Linked DNA regions of Saccharomyces cerevisiae S288C. Changing the gene in region 2 together with the main gene of any one other region gives a genetic interaction. Each region holds a gene or a part of one and is shown on either strand. Other genes may lie near its edges.

The links.
Region 1: of SEC59 (region 2) and ROT1, extra expression of one rescues a mutant of the other (dosage rescue), as found in Saccharomyces cerevisiae (one study listed by BioGRID).

The regions. Positions count from the first base shown.
Region 1 is NC_001145.3:661,631-666,022, reverse strand, and holds ROT1 (Rot1p), read right to left. Parts: upstream 1,272-4,392; coding exon 501-1,271; downstream 1-500. Other genes in the region: DNA repair protein RAD14, read left to right, coding at 1-178; cyclin CLN1, read right to left, coding at 1,739-3,379. UniProt on the Saccharomyces cerevisiae protein: Required for normal levels of the cell wall 1,6-beta-glucan. Involved in a protein folding machinery chaperoning proteins acting in various physiological processes including cell wall synthesis and lysis of autophagic bodies.
Region 2 is NC_001145.3:294,679-299,621, reverse strand, and holds SEC59 (dolichol kinase), read left to right. Parts: upstream 1-2,883; coding exon 2,884-4,443; downstream 4,444-4,943. Other genes in the region: BUD22 (Bud22p), read right to left, coding at 1-754; translation initiation factor 3 subunit CLU1, read right to left, coding at 4,655-4,943. UniProt on the Saccharomyces cerevisiae protein: Catalyzes CTP-mediated phosphorylation of dolichol, the terminal step in de novo dolichyl monophosphate (Dol-P) biosynthesis. Dol-P is a lipid carrier essential for the synthesis of N-linked and O-linked oligosaccharides and for GPI anchors.

The DNA of each region.
Region 1 (4,392 bases), 370 kb from region 2:
GCGACTGAAAACAAGAGCTCAAGAATATACTAATAGATTAAGAGAAAAGAAGCATGGGAAAGCCCATATTCATCATTTTAGTGATCCAGTTGATGGAGGTATTGATGAAGACGGTTATCAAATTCAAAGAAGAAGATGTACAGACTGCGGGCTAGAAACTGAAGAAATTGACATTTAAATGTTGGTTATGTATATAAGAATATAACAAGAAAGTCATAATAAGGTGTTTTGATTGTGTTCATTGATTGATATCCCATTTGTCACTCGTACATAATTAACTATCTCGGAAAAACTGGTTTGAAAATCTTTTATTCATCCACCTTATTTAATAATATGATTACAATCAATTCCTTGGGTGCATAAAATTACACCTATTCTTGCTTCTCTTTCTCGCCTGATAAAGTTGTTTTGCCTTATATGTTTATAGTTTTTAATATTTATTTGAAGGCCACATGGGGCCTCTTTCCCCCATTGGTTGAATAAGTATCCCTGTAGTGCGCCTAAAATGCTAAAAATAATAATGAACCTACACCTAGCATACCCGCAGAAATATACCAAATGGCATTGGAGGTTAAAAATGAGGTATTTTGTCTTTTAATGGCATTCGTCTTGTGTCTGTTTTCCAGGCTCCTCCTCACTAAACTTCTCAGTGATCTTTTCTTATTAGAGGATGGGTCGTCAGTGCTGGTCGCTGACGATGTTGGGTTCAAAGTTTCTGTTGGAAGCATCATTGGTGGTCTATAAGCCAAATATAGTGGTTGCATTGGAGTACCATCATATTGGTACAATTGCAGGGTGTAAATACCATGGTAAGGATCTATACCTACGGCATATTCCTTGAAAGTTTCTGTTTGGTTATATCTAGAATAAGTCGAAACTCCGTCATCATTGCATGGGTCGCTGAATAGTTGTCTACCGTCAACTTCAATAGGATTCAGAACTAACGTACCGTTTTCTGAAATGTTATATGTACCATGCTGATAAATCAACGAAGCCATGGGGCAAGTTGGGTTACGAGGATTGCCACTTACCTGGTAAGTAGCTTCTTCGTACCAACCATCTTCAGTGAACGAATAGCTAAGCCCGGGCAATGAAGGTTCTATCAATAGTTCATCTACGGGATCATAAAACCCCGGTCCCGTGAACACTTGATTTGATTTAGATGACCAGGTACCGTATATAGAGTTACTTTCGTCTTCACAATAGACCTTTTGAGCAAACAAATACCCGCCTAAGATTAGCTTTTTTAATGTAAACTTTTTCGACCACATAGTAATAAAGTGCAACAAATAATAATGGTTATAATACCGATCCTTTCCTCAGAATGATGTCTTACTTCAGTTTAATATGCCGGTAGGTTCTCGAAAAAGATGAGATCTCAAGCTTTAGTATGACTATATATCTATAATCTTAGAGAGGCTTTCTATTTATAACTGTTTGCTAATTACTACTCTCCTTTGCTTACCGCAAACGTTAGAACGAAAGGAAGAAAAAAATACTGGAAAATCGCGTCATCTTTTCCGTTCATGATGATAATTATATCAATCGTTGAAAGAATATTGGTATATTACTATTCAGCTGGTTTCAGGTGAAGAATATTGAGGCTAGATGTTTGTAGGTGGGCATTAAAATTATCTGGTATTAAAATGTCAAGTATGAATGTCATTATTACTTACGATGGAAAAGCGTAGTATTCCGTTATTAATTAAGTATATATGTAGGCTTGATGAGAAAATGGTCACAGTTGAGAGCTATTGTGGTTCCTTAACGATAGCGATATCGAAGACGCTCTATTAGTAAGTTCTCCTGTGTTCTGGAATATACCAGTCGTCATAAATTTGGCACGTTGTGGTATTTCAGCGGATGATGAGTTGGGAATTCTATTCTCTTTATTCCTTTCTTCTAGCATCATATTCTGATAATTGCTTGATAATGGCATGTTACCATTTTGGGTTTGATTAGGTAGACTGCTTACGCTTATGGCACTGTCACAAGCACTTTCGTTTTTAAACTGATTAAAAGTGTACATGTGAGGGGTGATCGGCGATGAATGGTCAATGTTGGTAGTACTGAAAACACTGTTGTCTGATTGTGCACTGAAGTTTCGCATTGGAGTATAATTGGTTCCCGAAGAATATGTGCTTGGAGAAGAAACTGATGATGAAGAGGCATTTTGGTCAAAGTAACGAGAATTGACAGCAATTTTTCTGGTTAGGTCTATTGTAGAGGCCAGTTGCAGTTTCTTTTGTAATTCCAAGTTATAATCTTTTACTTGTAATATGAAAGGTACTATACCATATTGCTCCTTATAAACTTCGACTAAAGATGGGGGAGAATTGACTATGCCATTGATGATAATGCTGAATACCTGCGTTTGAGTGTTTGAGTTTATATCATTACCAATGGGCATAGAGAGAAAAGGGCCTTGATCTTGATTAGTGAATTTGTTTATTATAGAAAACATACCATTGCATATTTCGTATAATTCGAATTTAAGCAAGTTGTATTGCCAACAGCTCAGATCAATTAAGAATCTTTTCAAATTTATCAATTTAATTTTGGAATTTAGTTCTTCATCTTCATCCATGGTAGTTGTATCGCCATCTAGTCCAGTACTTTGCGGTGAACTACTGATATGTTCTTCCACTGTGGCATCACTGTCGTCAGAAGATTGTGACTTTCTCTTACAGGACCATTCTTTGCCGTTGCTATTGTTATTTTGTAACTGGTTTTTGTAAAGTTCATATTGTATCAAACAATTTTCGTCAACGTTTAAAATGTAGTCATTAATCATGGGCTCATAAACGTCCCAGTTCAGAGTATCCAAGATATGTCTTTCCATTTGAATGAACATTGATTCATCGAATAAATCGGACCCGCCGCAATAATGAACCAATTCAGAAAGGCGTGGAATACGAGCTCTAGGATTGGGACCATAAAACCTACCACCTGTGGGGATGGAGACGTTGTTTATAATATGGTTGCACCCTCCCCAAGTTTTGGCCGCTAACCAAAGGCAGGTGCCTACAACTAGTTTAGCTTGGTCCTTTAACACTACTCTCTTAGAGCAATAGCGATCGTAGAACCTGACAGCGTGGAAGAAGATACCATTACTTACTCTAGTCATCACTGAAAGTTGATACAAAAATGTTACTATGGCTTCTCTAGTTTGATGAGGATTCATCTCCGGTTGCTGATCGATCAATTTTATGTCTGGTTTTGTCTTGGAAGATTGGACCAGCACATTTTGAGAGATTTCCTCGTGATATTCCTGTATGGTTTCGTAATGAGTTAGTAGTTCTGCATTGGACAATTCAATTGGGTAATATGTCTGCTTTGCAGTGACAATTAACCCAGTTTTCACTTCTGAGTGGTTCATGATCTTTTTATTTATTTTACAGAAATAGCTAACGAGCAGTGGAGTGGTGGTAGTGCTATTTTATTTAATTGCTATTATTGTTATCGTCGTTAAAATGTATTGTCAGCAAAATTACACTAATTTCTTCTATCCTGGGGAGATGGGATGAATAAATTGACAATAACCAGGAAATAAATTAAAGCGAACGAAGAACTCCTTGGCCAATTTGCTCTTAAGTGTGCATTCAACTAAGAAACTATTGAAGATAAGCATTACCAATTCCAAAATATATTCTTATATAAAAAGAGATACTAAGAAAATATCGAGAGATTAATTGCTGCACTCGCACCGGTACCACTTGGCGCAGGAAAACTGCGGTTTCCACAGGGGACCCACGCTGCCTTTACTCCATTCTCAATCTTGCCTTCTGCAGTATCTTTTTTTTTAATTTTCGAGTCTTCGTCACTTTCGAGTTAGTCTCCCTCCCAGCCTCGACCTGGCACCATTCAGCTCAATCCAGCAAAATCGCCAAAAATGCGTCTCCGATGCTTTCAAGGTTGGAAACTAACTAACGCGGTGCGAGATTCCCTCGAAGAAGTAAAATCGCGAATTCTTCCTTGAACGCGTCTCTTGCAGGCTGAACAAAGAAGTCGCTAGTGGATCGTCACAGAATGAACACGCCCACGAGCGGGATCTGGCTCGAGTTGTCATGAATACTGAAAGTATCAGGCGCGGGGTTGTAGTAGGTAAAGAATTTCTCCAAGAGGTTGTAGGAATGGACTTGTTTACCCCTTTACGCGCGGTGTTTTCGTGGCTTTACCGCATTGGGGTATGTCCCAGAAGAGAGTGTGCGCTATTCGATTTCCTATCAGTGAAGTGTTGCGAACAAGGGAATGCTGTCGAATTAGGAAAACAAAAGTTTATTCATGCAAATTTTGTGGCACGCTACCCTAAGTTCTCGATGATGTTTGGCTGCGTTTAAGTGAGTAATTTACATCCGCCTGTTAGTCCCGTAACATTCTCTTTTATTTTGC
Region 2 (4,943 bases):
TGGAGTGCGTCTGATTAGCATTGGCCGTCTTCTCCCTTGCTCCATACTTCTTTGCTTTCATAGCGCTTACATCAAATCCAAATATGAGACAAATACTCAAATCGAATGATTCGGTTAGATTTTGAACGATTTTACTTTGACCAATTAGTGCGTTTAACTTTTCACAACTTGGCAGCTTCGTAATAACTTCATTCCATATATTGCTTGGGTTCCACTTACTTGTCTTATCATTGATATAACCACTATAATCATTGTTATTCAACCAAGTTTTATTATTCGTATCACCTTCAATCTTTTTGCTTTTTTGTTTGATCCTCTGGTGTAAGATTTTGATCAGCCTAAATCTTGTCATGAAGAGTGCTAAATCATCTAATGACAACTGCGTAGCAAGCATCTTTTCAATATCTATAGAGGGTGATTTATTTTTTTGAGCATCCTTCACTTTACTAGAATTTTTTTTGGATATTTTCTGAATTTGTTCTTTTATACATTTTGATAAATGCGTCTCGTAATAGTGAATCTTATTATTGAGTAACTTTGAGTAACTTTCATCTAGTTCTTTGTCCAAAGTTTTCAACTCTAAAGAGTTTAACAGTTTTTCAATTTTCTTTTTGTTCTTTTTACCTATACAATTGTATAATTTGGCAGTTTTTGGATATCTTGGTTCAAACTTCTGTAATGATTTTGTCAAATAATGGTACTGATACTCCAACTGATCAAGCTTGTAGATAGAGACGGATGATTCGGAAGGCATGTTTCCTTTGGGTTATCCGTACACTTGACCTCTTTATACGTATATACTGGTTAAATTGCTTAAAGTAGTCATTCATACACTAAATGCACACAGTGATGAGGTAGATGAGATGAAAATTTTTGCCATATGGGCCATGTAATGTCTGGGTGTTGCTTTAATCGATCACTAACAGATGAAAAAGGTAGAATGGATAAAATACTTAAAGAATTTTATATGGCTTGTGATCAGACTGACGTGCAAATCATTTGATGAGACGTTTTCTTCATTGATGTTCTCAAGAAAATATATAGCTCAAGAAGTTGTCATCACATCACAATTAGTTATAATTAACGCAAGAGAAAATTTACTCAAGTTAATATATTTGAACTCAAATATATTGAAGAGATTAGAGTCGTCCAAATAGTCAGCATTACAATGGTTCGCTTGACCCAATTTCTAAATTTGCTAAAAATATTAAAGCTCAGTACCACGCCCTGTCACAGGCGAAATATCATCAAAGTTAATCGATAAACATTCGAAAAACGCAGTTGACCGTCGTGAAATGTGGAAATCATCATAAACAATTTTTGAAATTGGAGAAAAGTTAAAAACCTTGAAACAGTTTGTACGATCTCTCATCTCTCTCAGATAAATTTTCTAGTTTAAATTGCATCAGACACTAATTGCTCTTTTCAATCATGAAGATCAGACATATGCTTGTCTATTTGAGTAATTTGTTTCATCTTCTGCAGCATTGACGTCTCTAAGGTAGAAATTTTCTTTAAAAAACATGGAAGCAATACAGACACATCAACTGATGAACTAGTTATCTGTCGATTTTTTTCTATTTCCAAATTCTTTGCTAATCGAAAAGAATAATGTAAACAGCTTCAGAAAGGCATGAATGGTAATTTTAATAGTTGTGTCTTCACGAATGATCAGACTCGTCATCTATAAATATCTCATCATAAAAACCAATTCACATAATTATACGAAAATGAGAAAAAAATCCATTCTTCCCTATAGAAAATTCTGTTAGCCCTCAGAAAAACTTACAATGGATCAGTTGCGCGGGTTTTCTAGGCCCGCTAAAGCATTGTCACTCATTTGAAAGGATATTTGTTTCCCCCTCAGTGCCCAGTGCTGTGGATCCTCATTTCCATTGTATCAAATAGATCGAAAACATCAATCTACGGAAGAATAGCACTAAAAAACTACTGTTTTCTAAGCTTAAATGTATTCTTCCAATTTATGGAAATGTGTCAACTTTCTAGTATTTATTTTAAAGGTGTTTGCTAGGTCAGGATAGTGCAAAAACGTATCAACATATACTCGTTCAGCCAGTAATTCCAGCTTTTGTTTTTGTTATAATCATCATATGAACAAACACCTTTGAATAAATATGGAATAAAAAGAAAATTGAAATGGGTGTGGTAAATGAAAGGAGAGCAGAGAAATTGAAGAAATACTACTGTATTTCTATTTAGACTTTTCCTTTCAGTTTTTTCTTCTTTATTGCTAATTAAAAACCTCAGAAATAAGAATAAACGTTCTAATCACAAAAGATTCAGAAACTCTAGTTTGTAAAAATTTATTTTGGTCATCAAGGGAATAATTAGCCTGTGATAATGACAAAAGACATATCTGAAAAACTAACTTTGATAAAGAAGAAAAAAAGAACACGGAAAAAAACGTTTTATGGATTCAATTTCTCTCTCAGCCTTTCATAGCTCCCACTCATCTGAATATTTCTTTTGTATTGATCTTTGTGATGGAAATCATAGGATTCTAATATTGTAACTTATTAAAGAGAGGAAGCATTAATTGCCAATAACCATTTCTGCGTCTCTTATTTATACCCGAAGTAATCCTAGAAGAAAAAAAAATTTTCAGAAATGAAAAAAGTTCTAGATGTATGGGTGTGCGGGTAATGCTAAGATACGTTATTGAGGGCTGTCCGCAATGGTTGGGTTTTCAGGCACGTAATTTTCAAAAGAGTTGTACACGTTGTTAGTCAAGATGGTGAAAATGGTATCGAAGGACGTATTCTATGAAAGATAGAGTTTGTAGTAAGCCAAATATTAGAATTTAGCTAGTAAATCAGACTCCTTTCGAGGCAATAAACTGTCGTTATTCTGTTCATTGCCTATATGGTCGCTATAATACCTCATGCTTCCTTTACCACAATTAAACTAACCCAGAAAACTGAGGGAAGCCAAATGCCAACTGAGGAGATCTGCAAAATCAATATGAGGACTCGTAAATTTGATGTGGGCGGGAATTCTCGAGATTTTGAGTGCTTTTATTCGAATTTTGTTCAAACTGTTATATTGTTGGGCACTTTTTTTTACTGTGTTGAAAGGCTTCAGCCGTGGTCCATTGTTACCGCTGATATATCTTATAAACAAATCTTTGTAAATGTCTTTGTGGTGTGTTTGATAATGGTTGGTCTGATATTCACAAAATATTGGCAACATGGTTACAAAAGCCTACCCAAGTTCGATACCATTTACAGTTTATATTTACCGTTTATGGTTTCGTTGTTGTTCGATACATCATCTACGGTGATAAATACTATTTTGATCCTTTCGGTATTAAATTCATATAGATGGCGAACTCAGTTGGTAGTGATCATTTTACAGCTCTGCCTCATATTTTTTAATTTTGAGGCTGGTGACAGGTTAAAGAATATTATTAGCATAGTAATAAATTCTTTACTGTCGTTAATTTTGAAGTATATTGGGCAATTGAAAAGTTTAGATAATATCGACTCTAATCTTTTTAGTATCCTATTAACCAATATTCTGTACGTTTCAGAGGCTGGCACAGTACATTTTAGAATTTTGAAGGGCATTATCCTTGCTCTCACAACAATAATTTCAATTAACTATGTGCTCAAAAAGGTAATGCACTTTAAACCGTTTATGCTGTCAATATCCTTTGCCATCGGGCTTCCACTTTTTGCCAATACCTTCATTCATTTAGAAGACGGTGAAAATCCGCTACTTTGGCTGGTAAAATATATCTTAGAGTCTACTATTCGTCAAAAGATTTTGTTTGCTTGGTCTTCAATTCTTATACTGTCCATACCAAGTATATTGATCGAGAAGGACAGTCTATCGTTGAACACCTCCCGAAAATTGTGGCATTTCATCATTTTCTTACTCATAATACCGTCATTCCAAATGGATTCAAACTTTGTGAAAATTGCATTGTCCGGAACAATACCAGTCTTCTTATCAATTGAGTACATAAGATTTCAAAACCTACCGCCGTTAGGATCTGCTATTGAATTACAACTAAGAAGGTTTGCTGATGATAGGGACCACAGCGGGCCATTGATCATATCATACCTTTATTTACTCTTCGGAATATCAACACCTTTATTAATGAATAACTCTCCAATGGGTCTAATAGGATTGGGAATTGGTGATTCCTTAGCATCTATTATTGGTAAAAGGTATGGCCGCATTCGTTGGAAAGGTACACAAAAAACTTTAGAGGGAACTCTTGCGTTTATAGTAACGAGTTTTATCGTTTGTTTGGTATTGTTACGTTTTGATAAAGCTGCAATTTTTAACCACCTAACTACTTTACAATTGCTTACCCTTTGTACACTGAGTGGAGTGCTAGAAGGTAATAGTGTGCTTAATGACAATATTTTGATACCTGCATTTATGATGATTTGTGAAAAATTAATTACTCTTTGACAAAGTCAATTATTTTCAACTTTTAAAATTACATAACTAATTGTTTGCATTTATGAATAGAATAAAGAAAAGAATAGAGCAGTAAAGAAAAAAAAATAATTGTAAGTATTTTTTTTTCGTTTTATATCTAGTACTTACACGTAGTATATACAAGTATGGGCTATAGATATAAAGAAAAATAATAAATAAACGAGATTGTTAAGTTAGCTCTCTATTTCTTACCATGCTTCTTTTTATTGTTGGTTTTGTTTTTGCTCTTAGAGTTGGAAGAATCGCCTTCTATAAATGTTAACAACTCATCCACACTTTTGTTAGCCAATTCAGGTTTAACGTCATCCTTCTTTTGACGGTGATTGGTTTTTTTATGGCCAGCTGAATTTGATCCCGTTGTCGACATTTGATCTTGTGCAAGTTGCTTCTTTTGTTTTAAATCCATTATTAATGAGCTTAAACCATTAACCCACTGTCTTGATTGGGCTGAGTGCGTGTGATTCATACCC